2 linked regions of the Arabidopsis thaliana genome follow. The protein of the gene in region 1 interacts with the protein of each later gene in a pairwise test. Each region holds a gene or a part of one and is shown in the gene's direction. Other genes may lie near its edges. The genes, in order: PPX1 and TAP46.

The links.
Region 2: the proteins of PPX1 (region 1) and TAP46 interact in a two-hybrid assay, tested with the Arabidopsis thaliana proteins (one study listed by BioGRID).

The regions. Positions count from the first base shown.
Region 1 is NC_003075.7:13,469,530-13,474,773, reverse strand, and holds PPX1 (protein phosphatase X 1), read left to right. Parts: upstream 1-2,287; 5' UTR 2,288-2,619; coding exon 2,620-2,760; intron 2,761-3,069; coding exon 3,070-3,222; intron 3,223-3,332; coding exon 3,333-3,395; intron 3,396-3,473; coding exon 3,474-3,559; intron 3,560-3,647; coding exon 3,648-3,723; intron 3,724-3,806; coding exon 3,807-4,075; intron 4,076-4,165; coding exon 4,166-4,244; intron 4,245-4,326; coding exon 4,327-4,377; 3' UTR 4,378-4,744; downstream 4,745-5,244. Other genes in the region: ATS1 (peroxygenase 1), read left to right, coding at 1-84, 174-259, 384-478, 569-694, 821-983; AT4G26730 (S-adenosyl-L-methionine-dependent methyltransferases superfamily protein), read right to left, coding at 1,465-2,019, 2,124-2,195; AT4G26710 (ATPase, V0 complex, subunit E), read right to left, coding at 5,106-5,172.
Region 2 is NC_003076.8:21,484,778-21,489,933, reverse strand, and holds TAP46 (2A phosphatase associated protein of 46 kD), read left to right. Parts: upstream 1-1,891; 5' UTR 1,892-2,064; coding exon 2,065-2,160; intron 2,161-2,303; coding exon 2,304-2,426; intron 2,427-2,717; coding exon 2,718-2,804; intron 2,805-2,923; coding exon 2,924-3,028; intron 3,029-3,134; coding exon 3,135-3,296; intron 3,297-3,379; coding exon 3,380-3,415; intron 3,416-3,499; coding exon 3,500-3,571; intron 3,572-3,663; coding exon 3,664-3,944; intron 3,945-4,024; coding exon 4,025-4,280; 3' UTR 4,281-4,617; downstream 4,618-5,156. Other genes in the region: AT5G53010 (calcium-transporting ATPase), read left to right, coding at 182-227, 422-550, 629-730, 820-896, 984-1,035; AT5G52990 (SNARE-like superfamily protein), read right to left, coding at 4,928-5,156. UniProt on the Arabidopsis thaliana protein: Involved in the positive regulation of the TOR signaling pathway. Acts as a negative regulator of PP2A catalytic activity. Plays a positive role in the ABA-regulated inhibition of germination, probably throught its interaction with ABI5.

The DNA.
Region 1 (5,244 bases):
ACGGACTTAGTGTTCTTCAACAGCATGTCTCCTTCTTCGATATCGATGATAATGGCATCATTTACCCTTGGGAGACCTACTCTGGTATGTCTATATAGTATATATAGATATTTCAACTTCAAATTTTTCGTTAGTATTATATGTACAAAAAGTTGATCCCAACCGGTGATTAGGACTGCGAATGCTTGGTTTCAATATCATTGGGTCGCTTATAATAGCCGCTGTTATCAACCTGACCCTTAGCTATGCCACTCTTCCGGTAACACCTCTCCTCCTCTGCTGACATATATCGCAAAACTTTGATTGATTCTACTCTAGACTCGGAAATTATCATATCCAAATCCGTTGTCCATTTTGTTAGTGTTCTACTTGATTATATGCAGGGGTGGTTACCTTCACCTTTCTTCCCTATATACATACACAACATACACAAGTCAAAGCATGGAAGTGATTCAAAAACATATGACAATGAAGGAAGGTGAGTGACCATATTATCTTGAAAAAAACGGTTGACTGATAGAAAATATGATGACTGATGCATATGGTATAACTTCCGTATGCTTTTCAGGTTTATGCCGGTGAATCTTGAGTTGATATTTAGCAAATATGCGAAAACCTTGCCAGACAAGTTGAGTCTTGGAGAACTATGGGAGATGACAGAAGGAAACCGTGACGCTTGGGACATTTTTGGATGGTACAATCACAGCATTAGCCTTCCTTTTTCTTACCCTTTCATTAGTTTATTGAATGCATGTGTTAAACTAAAGTATTAGTCAATGTTGTTGTAGTTATAATGTTTGGATCTACATGTATGTATTAGGATCGCAGGCAAAATAGAGTGGGGACTGTTGTACTTGCTAGCAAGGGATGAAGAAGGGTTTTTGTCAAAAGAAGCTATTAGGCGGTGTTTCGATGGAAGCTTGTTCGAGTACTGTGCCAAAATCTACGCTGGTATCAGTGAAGACAAGACAGCATACTACTAAAAGTATCCTTTATGTTAAGTAATTGATCGAGCCATTTTAAGCTAATAATCGATCAATGTGAAGCTTGTGCCTATACGGTAAATGAAGGTTCGGGTAGTAGTATGGACTTTTGGTCTAAGAGATCTATGTTTGTTTTTGTTTTTCCAGTTCTGTATGGTTATACTATAAGTTGCAGCTCTAAAGAAAAGCTTCTGTATGTTTTGTTGCCTTGGTCTCTCTTTGTACCAACCCCTTTTTCTGTTATTTCCAATTTTACACTGTTAGTTATTATTGCTAAATTTATTACTGACTTACTCTATAGTAGTGTAACGAAATATATGGTCACATTAACTCAAAGTTAACTCCACTCCATGAACATTGAAGCAGTCTGAGAATCCAGAAAGGACCTATGAATCAACGCAATCAAAAGAAAAGAAGAAAAGATTAAAACACCTTCATGAAGGAGAGTCTTAAAAGAAAAGAAGAAAAGATTAAAACACCTTCATGAAAGAGAGTCTTGAACTTTGAATAGTATACTAGTCCTTTTAGAGTCTTGAAGTTTGAATAGTATACTAGTTCTTTTGACTCTTTCTAAGGTTACATTAGCAACATCAACGATCTTGGAATTATGAAAAAACCTAGCAATGTCTCTAACATCATCTCCACTACATTCATCAACCGCAACCACACAAAACCCACCGCGTCGCACCGTCCTCTCCATCTCCTCCACGAACCGCCACGGAAACAGAGCTTCAGCTAGATGTGCAGTAAAGACAAAATCAAAGACACGGTCGAAAAACGGAAGGTTATGAGGATCAGCTCTTTTCACAAGAGGAATCGAATCAACCAATTCAACTGCGGTAACGTCGGATAATCCGATCTGAGAAAGAGCCATCGGAGCATGGCCTGCTCCGTCGGAAAGACAGAGAGCTTTGGTGTGATTTTGAATGAATCCGAGATCGCGAAATCGGAGGAAGTAGGTAGAGAAGGAGGATAGACGCGATTTCCAAGCTCCAGAGAACCAGATTCGAGCGTTCTTCTTTGGGAGAGGAAGATGCTGACGAGGCGATGAATCGCATGTAGATCTCAGAAAATGCGTATGAGGTTTCGATGGAGCTTCTGGTGAAATACAAGTTTTGGCGTCTGGAGAATCATAATCACCATTAACACTGTTCCGATGCTTAAGAACACGACTGAAACTCTGTTCAGCATCTTCTCAACGTTTCTCTCCATCGTCGCCGATCAAAACTCCGATCGAAATGCCGTTATCTTCTCTTCTCGCCGTGGAGAAATTACGAAAATGGCCGCTTTGATATATGTGGGCCGGGCCTTATAAAGTTATATTCTGGGCCCATTATGTGAACTTAACACATTCTGGACGAATATGTAATTTCAGAAAAGAAGTGAGGCGATTTTGAAAATAATCTAAACCATAAGGAGGGAAAGAAAAACCTTGGGGGGAAAAAACATTCCTGCGGAGAGGAGCTAATTCTCTCTCCTTGGGAAGAAGACGACGAGCTTAATACATTCGACAGTGGAGAATATCAGATTCTTTTTGGCGAGGGTTGGTTGATTCCTTCTTATTCATCAGATTAAGGATCGTTTCCGGTGGCTGAAGAGTAATAGAAGGAGGAAGAAGAGGAGAGGAGAGGTAAAAATGTCAGACCTAGATCGGCAAATAGGGCAGCTTAAGCGATGCGAACCATTGAGCGAATCGGAGGTGAAGGCTCTTTGCCTCAAAGCCATGGAAATTCTTGTTGAAGAGAGTAATGTTCAGAGAGTTGATGCCCCTGTCACTGTAAGTTCTTACTTTACCTTACTTCTCGATCTGGGTTTCGGAATTATGAGCTTATTAATCAATAAATCTGAAGAAAATAGGCGCGGAGATTTTGTGTCTTTATAATTTGGATTCGTAATGTTGTATCAAATGGTATATCATTCCTAGGATCCAGTGAAAGACTTGTTTTTGTTTCTTGCTATTGTTACAAGTCAAAAGATTTCACGGGCAGTGAAGTTACAGGGTTAAGAAGTGAGAGTAGATACCATTGATGTTTCTTATGATTTGCAAGAATTGCTAATACTTGTCTTTCTTTTTCCATTGGGATAGTTATGTGGTGACATCCATGGGCAGTTCTATGATATGATGGAGCTTTTCAAAGTTGGGGGTGATTGTCCTAAGACCAACTATTTGTTTATGGGAGATTTTGTTGATCGTGGATATTATTCGGTTGAGACATTTCTACTTCTACTCGCACTCAAGGTAACTCTCTGGACTGTGTTTTACTTTGTTGTGGTTTCCTTGTTTTGCACAATCTCTTCTGCTAAATTGGTTCTTGGAATCGCTTAAGTAGATTGCTTTGATATTCTTAGGTTAGATATCCAGACCGCATAACTCTCATCAGAGGAAACCATGAAAGCAGGCAAATCACACAGGTGAATGCAGTCTCATTTGAAAATTTTGCTTTTGTGTATGTATATATTCAGACTATTCATAAAGTCTGCTTTTAGTAGGTTTATGGATTTTATGATGAGTGTTTGCGTAAATATGGCTCTTCAAATGTCTGGAGATACTGCACCGACATTTTTGACTACATGAGGTATTCAAAGCAGCATTCACTTTCTTTATATTCAGTTTTTGACTTGTCTTTGGAATATTCCGACTCTTTAATCTGTCTTTTCTTATAGTCTTTCAGCTGTTGTGGAGAACAAGATATTCTGTGTTCATGGTGGTCTTTCTCCAGCTATTATGACTCTTGATCAGGTTGATATAAGAGCTCTCTCTACTGATAATTACAAGTTTCCAACTAGAATTAGTTAACTGACGGAACCATACCTTTATGGCAGATTAGGACAATTGACCGGAAGCAAGAAGTACCACATGATGGTGCCATGTGTGATCTCCTATGGTCTGATCCTGAAGATATTGTTGATGGCTGGGGATTGAGCCCTCGTGGTGCCGGATTCCTTTTTGGTGGCAGTGTTGTCACGTCTTTTAACCACTCAAACAACATAGACTACATAGCCCGTGCCCATCAACTAGTTATGGAGGGTTACAAATGGATGTTTGATAGCCAGATTGTGACAGTGTGGTCAGCCCCAAATTACTGTTACAGGTAAATAAGATTCTCAGAGCCGTCTGTTTCAGTCTATCTATCCTCATTTCTTGTAGCTTGATTTTTACTCCTATTTCACTTATGCTCCAGATGCGGTAATGTGGCTTCAATTCTAGAGCTTGACGAGAATCTAAATAAAGAATTCCGTGTGTTTGATGCAGCCCAGCAGGTATGACCCTTTTAGTAATATGTTACTTCCCGTTCTGATCTCGTTGAGCAGATAAGTAGACTGACATATTTTCTATATGCAGGACTCGAGAGGGCCTCCCGCCAAAAAGCCGGCCCCTGATTACTTCCTATAATGGGCAAAACTTCGAAAACCTTATTCCCAAAGTCGAACTAGCGTCAATATTCAACTCCGTTGAAGAGGAAGAGAATTACTATTCGTTCAGTGTTTAGGTTGCAGTGCAGAAGAATATACAATAGAGTTGTTTCAGGCGAGCTCTACCTAGGCCACAAAGACTGATCGAACTGGGGTTGTCTAAAAAAGATATTGTTGTTGTTGTTTCCGGTTTTGGTGTAACTGTAGTCAAAAGAGTGTTTGTGTATTGGTAGTTAAAGAGTGATTTTGTCCTGATTCAAGTTTGTACTTTCTTAGGAGATAAGACCTCAAACAGTTTTGGAGCTCACAGTTATATCAATAGAATTCACAGGGAAGCATTAGGACAATTTGACAGCCATGTCAGATCGAACTGGTTCTGATAGAAACTTGCCATGAACAAAAAGAAAATCCTAAAATTCCTTCCTTGGTAGGAGATGAAGATGGGAAATGGCGAATATTCTGCCAAATGTTTTTATTTCATCAACAATACACTCACTCTCTGGTAGAGTCTTTGAGTATATGAAAACTGTTCAAGAATTGAATGAGAGACAGAATATGTTTGAGTAAAGAGGGGGATAGTTTCGTTGTTCCACACCACGATAAGAATTACAAAGGGGAAAACAAATATGTTTGAAGAAGATACAGAAAGAGCAGCGGGGCTCTTACTCAAATTTGTGCATTGGTTTCCTAGTTTGAGTAGAATGGTTTCTACTCCACCTCGCTTAAGATAGGGACAATGAGAGGGTTCATCTGCGCAATGTATACAATTGCCCACCTGCCAATGCGAAGAAACAAAAACGATGTAATGATATGTAAGACAATGAATGAATTGCATATAAGGAAAGGA
Region 2 (5,156 bases), on another chromosome or scaffold:
GGATAAGATTTGATTATTAAGTCAATATAGAGTTGGCTTAGAAAGAGACATTAATGTATTGATGCTGAAGGTTTTGAAGAAACTGTTGGTTTTGCAATTCTTGTTAAAACACACTATCTGTTCTAGGTGAATATACACAAACTGATAGTACATATGCATGTGTACATTTTTTGTTTTTCAGAGATCCTCTTATAACCAAGACGATGTGGTCCAAGATGATAATTCAGGTATGTAGGGTAAAATCCTCGATTGATCATGTGTGGACGTTAATGTCAGATTAAGTATTTCACACCTTCATAGTTTCCAAGGAGCAAATACAATTCCTTGGTGATATTAAACTAATTAATTATTTAGATTAGAGACAAACACACTGGTTTGGAGACCTCTAATAATGCTTGTGTCATGAAATACCTTCCTCCAGGTATTTTACCTAGTGCTCTCGCTGGTACTCATAAATTCTGAGAAGCTACTGAAGCTGAAGCATGGTCAGACGGGCAATGCCGAAAAAATGATGAACACATTGATATTCAATTCCTTTGTCTTCTACCTGGTAATATCTGATTTTTTCCCACTCTTCTAATTAGAGTTCATATGTTGATCATCTCTCTATCTTTCTAAAATAACGCAGGTTTTTAATGAGTTTGAAATCCAAAGTGTAGACCAAACCTTCAAAGAAGTCCTTAGAGAGAATATGTTTCTCGTTACAATAACCTCAACTATCATATCTCAGGTAAGTCCTCTTTACAAGTGAACACAACATTTGTCTTTTCTTATATATCCCTAAACCATATATACTCTCTTTCTGTTCTTTCATATCAGATAATCGTGATCAAGTTCGCAGGCATTTTCATTGACTTGAAAAAATGGGTGACGACAAGTCTTTTGGGGTTACTCAGGTTCTGCTCATAAACATCCTCAACTACTTTCTTTAATTTTTTACTCTTCACATTTTTTCTCAATACGTAAATTTAACCTTTTTTCAGCCAAGTCGCCACTCGCTACCCTTACCCAGCCATCCAATATCATCGTAACTGAGATTTCTCTTGCCGTATGGCTCAATTCTCGTAAGAAGTAAGAACCATTCACTCCCAAAGTCTCCTAATGAATCGCATATGACTATCTTATTTTAGATCTGGCAAGTAGTTTCTCTCAACTTGCAGTTCTCATCTCAGGTCAACTTTTGAAGCATCCCTCTAGCTTTGGTCGCTTAGGAGGCTGTTGTTCTCTGCGCGGGTGTGCGTGAGAGATTAAATAATGCGGATTATTGTGCTGTGTATATAGCATACTACAGTTTATTCAGTCAATTCATTTTCCTCTTGAAGATATGTCGAGTGAAATGCGTGAAAGTCAAACATTTAAGTTCTGTATCCATTTCCCTTTCAAGCTATGTAGACTGTAATGGGTGACAGTCATATATAGTATATATAGTAAGCTCTGTTCAATCAATGCACCTCTTCGTTTTCGATTCATGAATTGTTTGTTGGATGTTCCTAAATCTTTGGATCCAGCTGATTCACCGCGATTGAGGTGGCTTTAGTTATCGGTATCCACCATTCCTTACTGCTATAGGTCGATCGAATCAATAACACTACGACAATTCGGGCTGCTTAGACAGCGGGTGCGATACTAGTTTATTCATACTCCTACTCGTACAAAAATCAAGAAAATTTCATCTCCATTCAAATTAAGAAAAAAAACAGTAAACATTCATATACCATAGCCACAATCACATTCGTGGCGGTTTTACACTACACCCGCCGCACCTGATCTTTGACTTGATATTTTTATACAACTGAGTCGGTTTTTGACTTTTGAGGTTGTGGACAGATCTAACGGCTAATAGAATTCGAGTTATCTACTTCACCTGACGCGGCAAAATCTCAACCGTCCCTTATAAAGCTCTTCGCGGTTAACATTTTCTCTCCTCTGTCTGTGTGTACTCGTGGTAAATTAGTCAGATTTCGATTTGGAACCCTAAAAAAATTCAAAAGACGATCCTCTTCTCGAAGAAACTCGATTCTTGTGGATTCGATTTCATTAAGGAATTTTGAATTGTTGCCTGTGATGGGTGGTTTGGCTATGGAGGAAATGCCTTTATCGGTGCTATTCGAGCAAGCTAGGAAAATTCATCTTGCTGCTTCAGAGTCTGGTGTTGATCAGGTGGAAGCTTCTACCTCTTTTTTATATACAGATTCGATTAGGGTGTTTATCTGAAATGGGTATTTCGAATCCGAATCGCGAGTTTTTACTGAATTGGACATTTCCGGGGATGCTTAGTTCATTCTTTTCCTTTGGTTTGTTAGGATGTTGTGAAGAAAGGATGTGAGATGTTTCAGAAGTGCGAAGATATGATCGGGAAGCTGGCGCTGTTTTCGTCTAACGAGACTAAAGAAGATATTAGCACCAACAATCTCAAATATCTTTTGGTATGCAATTGAGTCTCTGTTGTTTGGATTTTTGTAATTTGTTTGTATTCTAGTTTTGTTATTAGTTTTGGTGTGGAAAGATCTGAAAGTGAAAAACTTTAGCTTGTCCTGATGCTTCTAGTTTTAGCTACTGACTGAAATTCAAAATGGAGTCTGAGATTTTGGATTGTAACGTTTTCCATTGAACTTACTCTGTGTGGAGACCATAAGATTGTGTTGAGATCATAAGATTGTGTTGCGAGTTGACATTTCTATAAAGTGACGAGGGATTATATTGTCTTGTGATTATAGGTGCCTTATTATCTTGCGGAGTTGACAGAGAAAATCATACAGGAGGACCGGATTCAGATTGTCAAAGCCTCGTATGCTAAGTTGAAGGTTAGTTTTCTGCTGAGTGTTTACATGTTTTTGTATCCCTTTGATGCTATTGCAAGTGGGAATGAGCATTTGGTTGGATTTTTTTTGAGATTGATGTATAGTTTTGTTATTGTGTCTAGGAGTTCTTTTCGTTCTGTGAGGCAATGGAGCTTGTTCCGGATGAGGAGTTGGAGGCTTCTTCACGAGGAGGTTCTGGTGCACCTGCTGATCGAAGGGCTCTCAAGGTAGATTCAGCCCTGTTTCTTTTGTTTATGTTCTGACGAGAATGAAGTTTAAAGTTTTCGGATTTTGAAATGCGTGTTGTGTCTTCATGATTATGGTACTTTGTAGATAGCTCGGTTCAAACGTCAAAAGGCTGCAGAGGCAAAGCTTCTTGAAATTAAAGAGAGGAAGGAGCGACGTGGACGTTCCACTAAAGCATCAGCTTTGTCGACTCCGGTTGAATCTGGAGAAGATGATATTCCAGATGATGACAGCGAAGAAGAGAGAGAGGTTTGTCCCACTTTTTGTTTTGCTGCTTTCTCTAATTCGATTTTTTCTTCTAAGCTTTCTTGTCTTATTGCTTTCCTCTGCAGGCCTGGCTCTCCTCAATTAACTTGGCTATTTGTAAGGTTTGTCTAAAAATCATTTCATTAGAACCCTATGATTTGTCACAAGTTGAGGAGGCATTATCTTATGATTGAACTTCGTTACAGGCTATTGATCTGTTGGAAATGCTAAAGAGAGAAGAGGAAATGCTCTCTGCAATAAAGGAAAGACAGTTGAAGGTAGCTTACCGTGGTGTTAGTTTTTTTAGGTGCGAACAAAACTATTTGATAAACATATAAAAGAAGAAAACGTGTTATGATATTTTGATCAGGATGGAGAGGGTGGATTTTCTCGGGATGCTCTTGATGATCGTACAAAGAAAGCTGAAACCTGGCACAGAGACGCTGCTGCAAGGATACAGTACTCTAAACCGGCACAACCAATCACTTGTGCCACATTTGCACAAGATGTGTTAGAAGGAAGAGCTTCGGTATCACAAGGTCACGAACACAAGAACCAACCTCTTATATTCGGTCCAGCAAGCATCGTGGGTGGACCGCTCTCTACCGAGAGAGAAAGAATGATAGCTCAGGTCTTCCAACCAAGTCACAGGTAGACACAAAATATTGCTCATTACAAAATCTTAATCCTTTTTGAGATTTAAAAATGGTGATTAAACTTGGGTTTTGTAGGATGCCAACAATGTGCATAGAGGATGCTGGGTTAACAGAGATGAACATAATGAATGATTGGCAAGAGCAGACGAAAAAAGCCATTGAAGAAGCAACCACCTCATGGTACAATGATAAACCTCTAAGAAGAAAAGAAGAAGACGAGGAAGATGATGATGAAGACGAAGAAGCTGTGATGAAAGCTAGAGCTTTCGATGATTGGAAGGATGATAATCCTCGCGGTGCAGGTAACAAGAAACTCACACCTTGTGGCTGAGACTAGAGACCGAGACACACATTATTTAACACTTTCTCCCTCTCTTTTGTTTCTTATTTCCAAAACCTCTTCGTTCACTTATTATAATGTCTGTAATGTAATCATCTTTCTACTCTTAAGCCTTAGACTTACAGATTTTGGATTCACGGATTCACTTTCATTTTCGTTGGGAATATTATTTTTAAATACGCCGACTACTAAAGATACAATGTATATATCTAGTAAAATACTAACGTGTGACTGGATCTGAGACCATCTTTTGTTGTCCTCTATTATTGTGTAACCCACGTTCAATCACAGCACCATTTATGGAATCAAACAACAAAAGAGAAGCGAGAAAAAAAAAAGAGATAATAACAACACACATTTTGCTTGTGAATGATTTAACTTCCAAAGTACAATTAACAACATCATTAACATGTAAACCAGGATTCAATCTATACCCTAGTTTTCCTCCTGGAAACAACACTTTTTGCGACTTTAAAAATCAAAGAAGATGAAAAAAGTTGACAAGAACAGAGAGATAACAAAAGGGATCAGATTTGATCCAAAAAAACGGATACCCAGAAAAAAGATGTCAAATGATCAAATTTTGATGCAGATTCAAAGAATATGAATTTGGAGATGTACACAGATGATGATAACTTTTACCCTTGAATGCATTGAAACCCTTCACAAATCCAAAGCCAAATTCCAAACAAAACAGCACAGATGCAGAAATCAAACATCAACACAACCCAAACATGTTTCTTCCAAATCTGTTTCGCCTTTTGTCTATGATGATGATCACTCAACAAACCATTTCTCAGTTCCTTGCGTAAGACTCCATTATTACCATTCCCACATAAATCAACATTCTTCTCTGATATCTCCTGA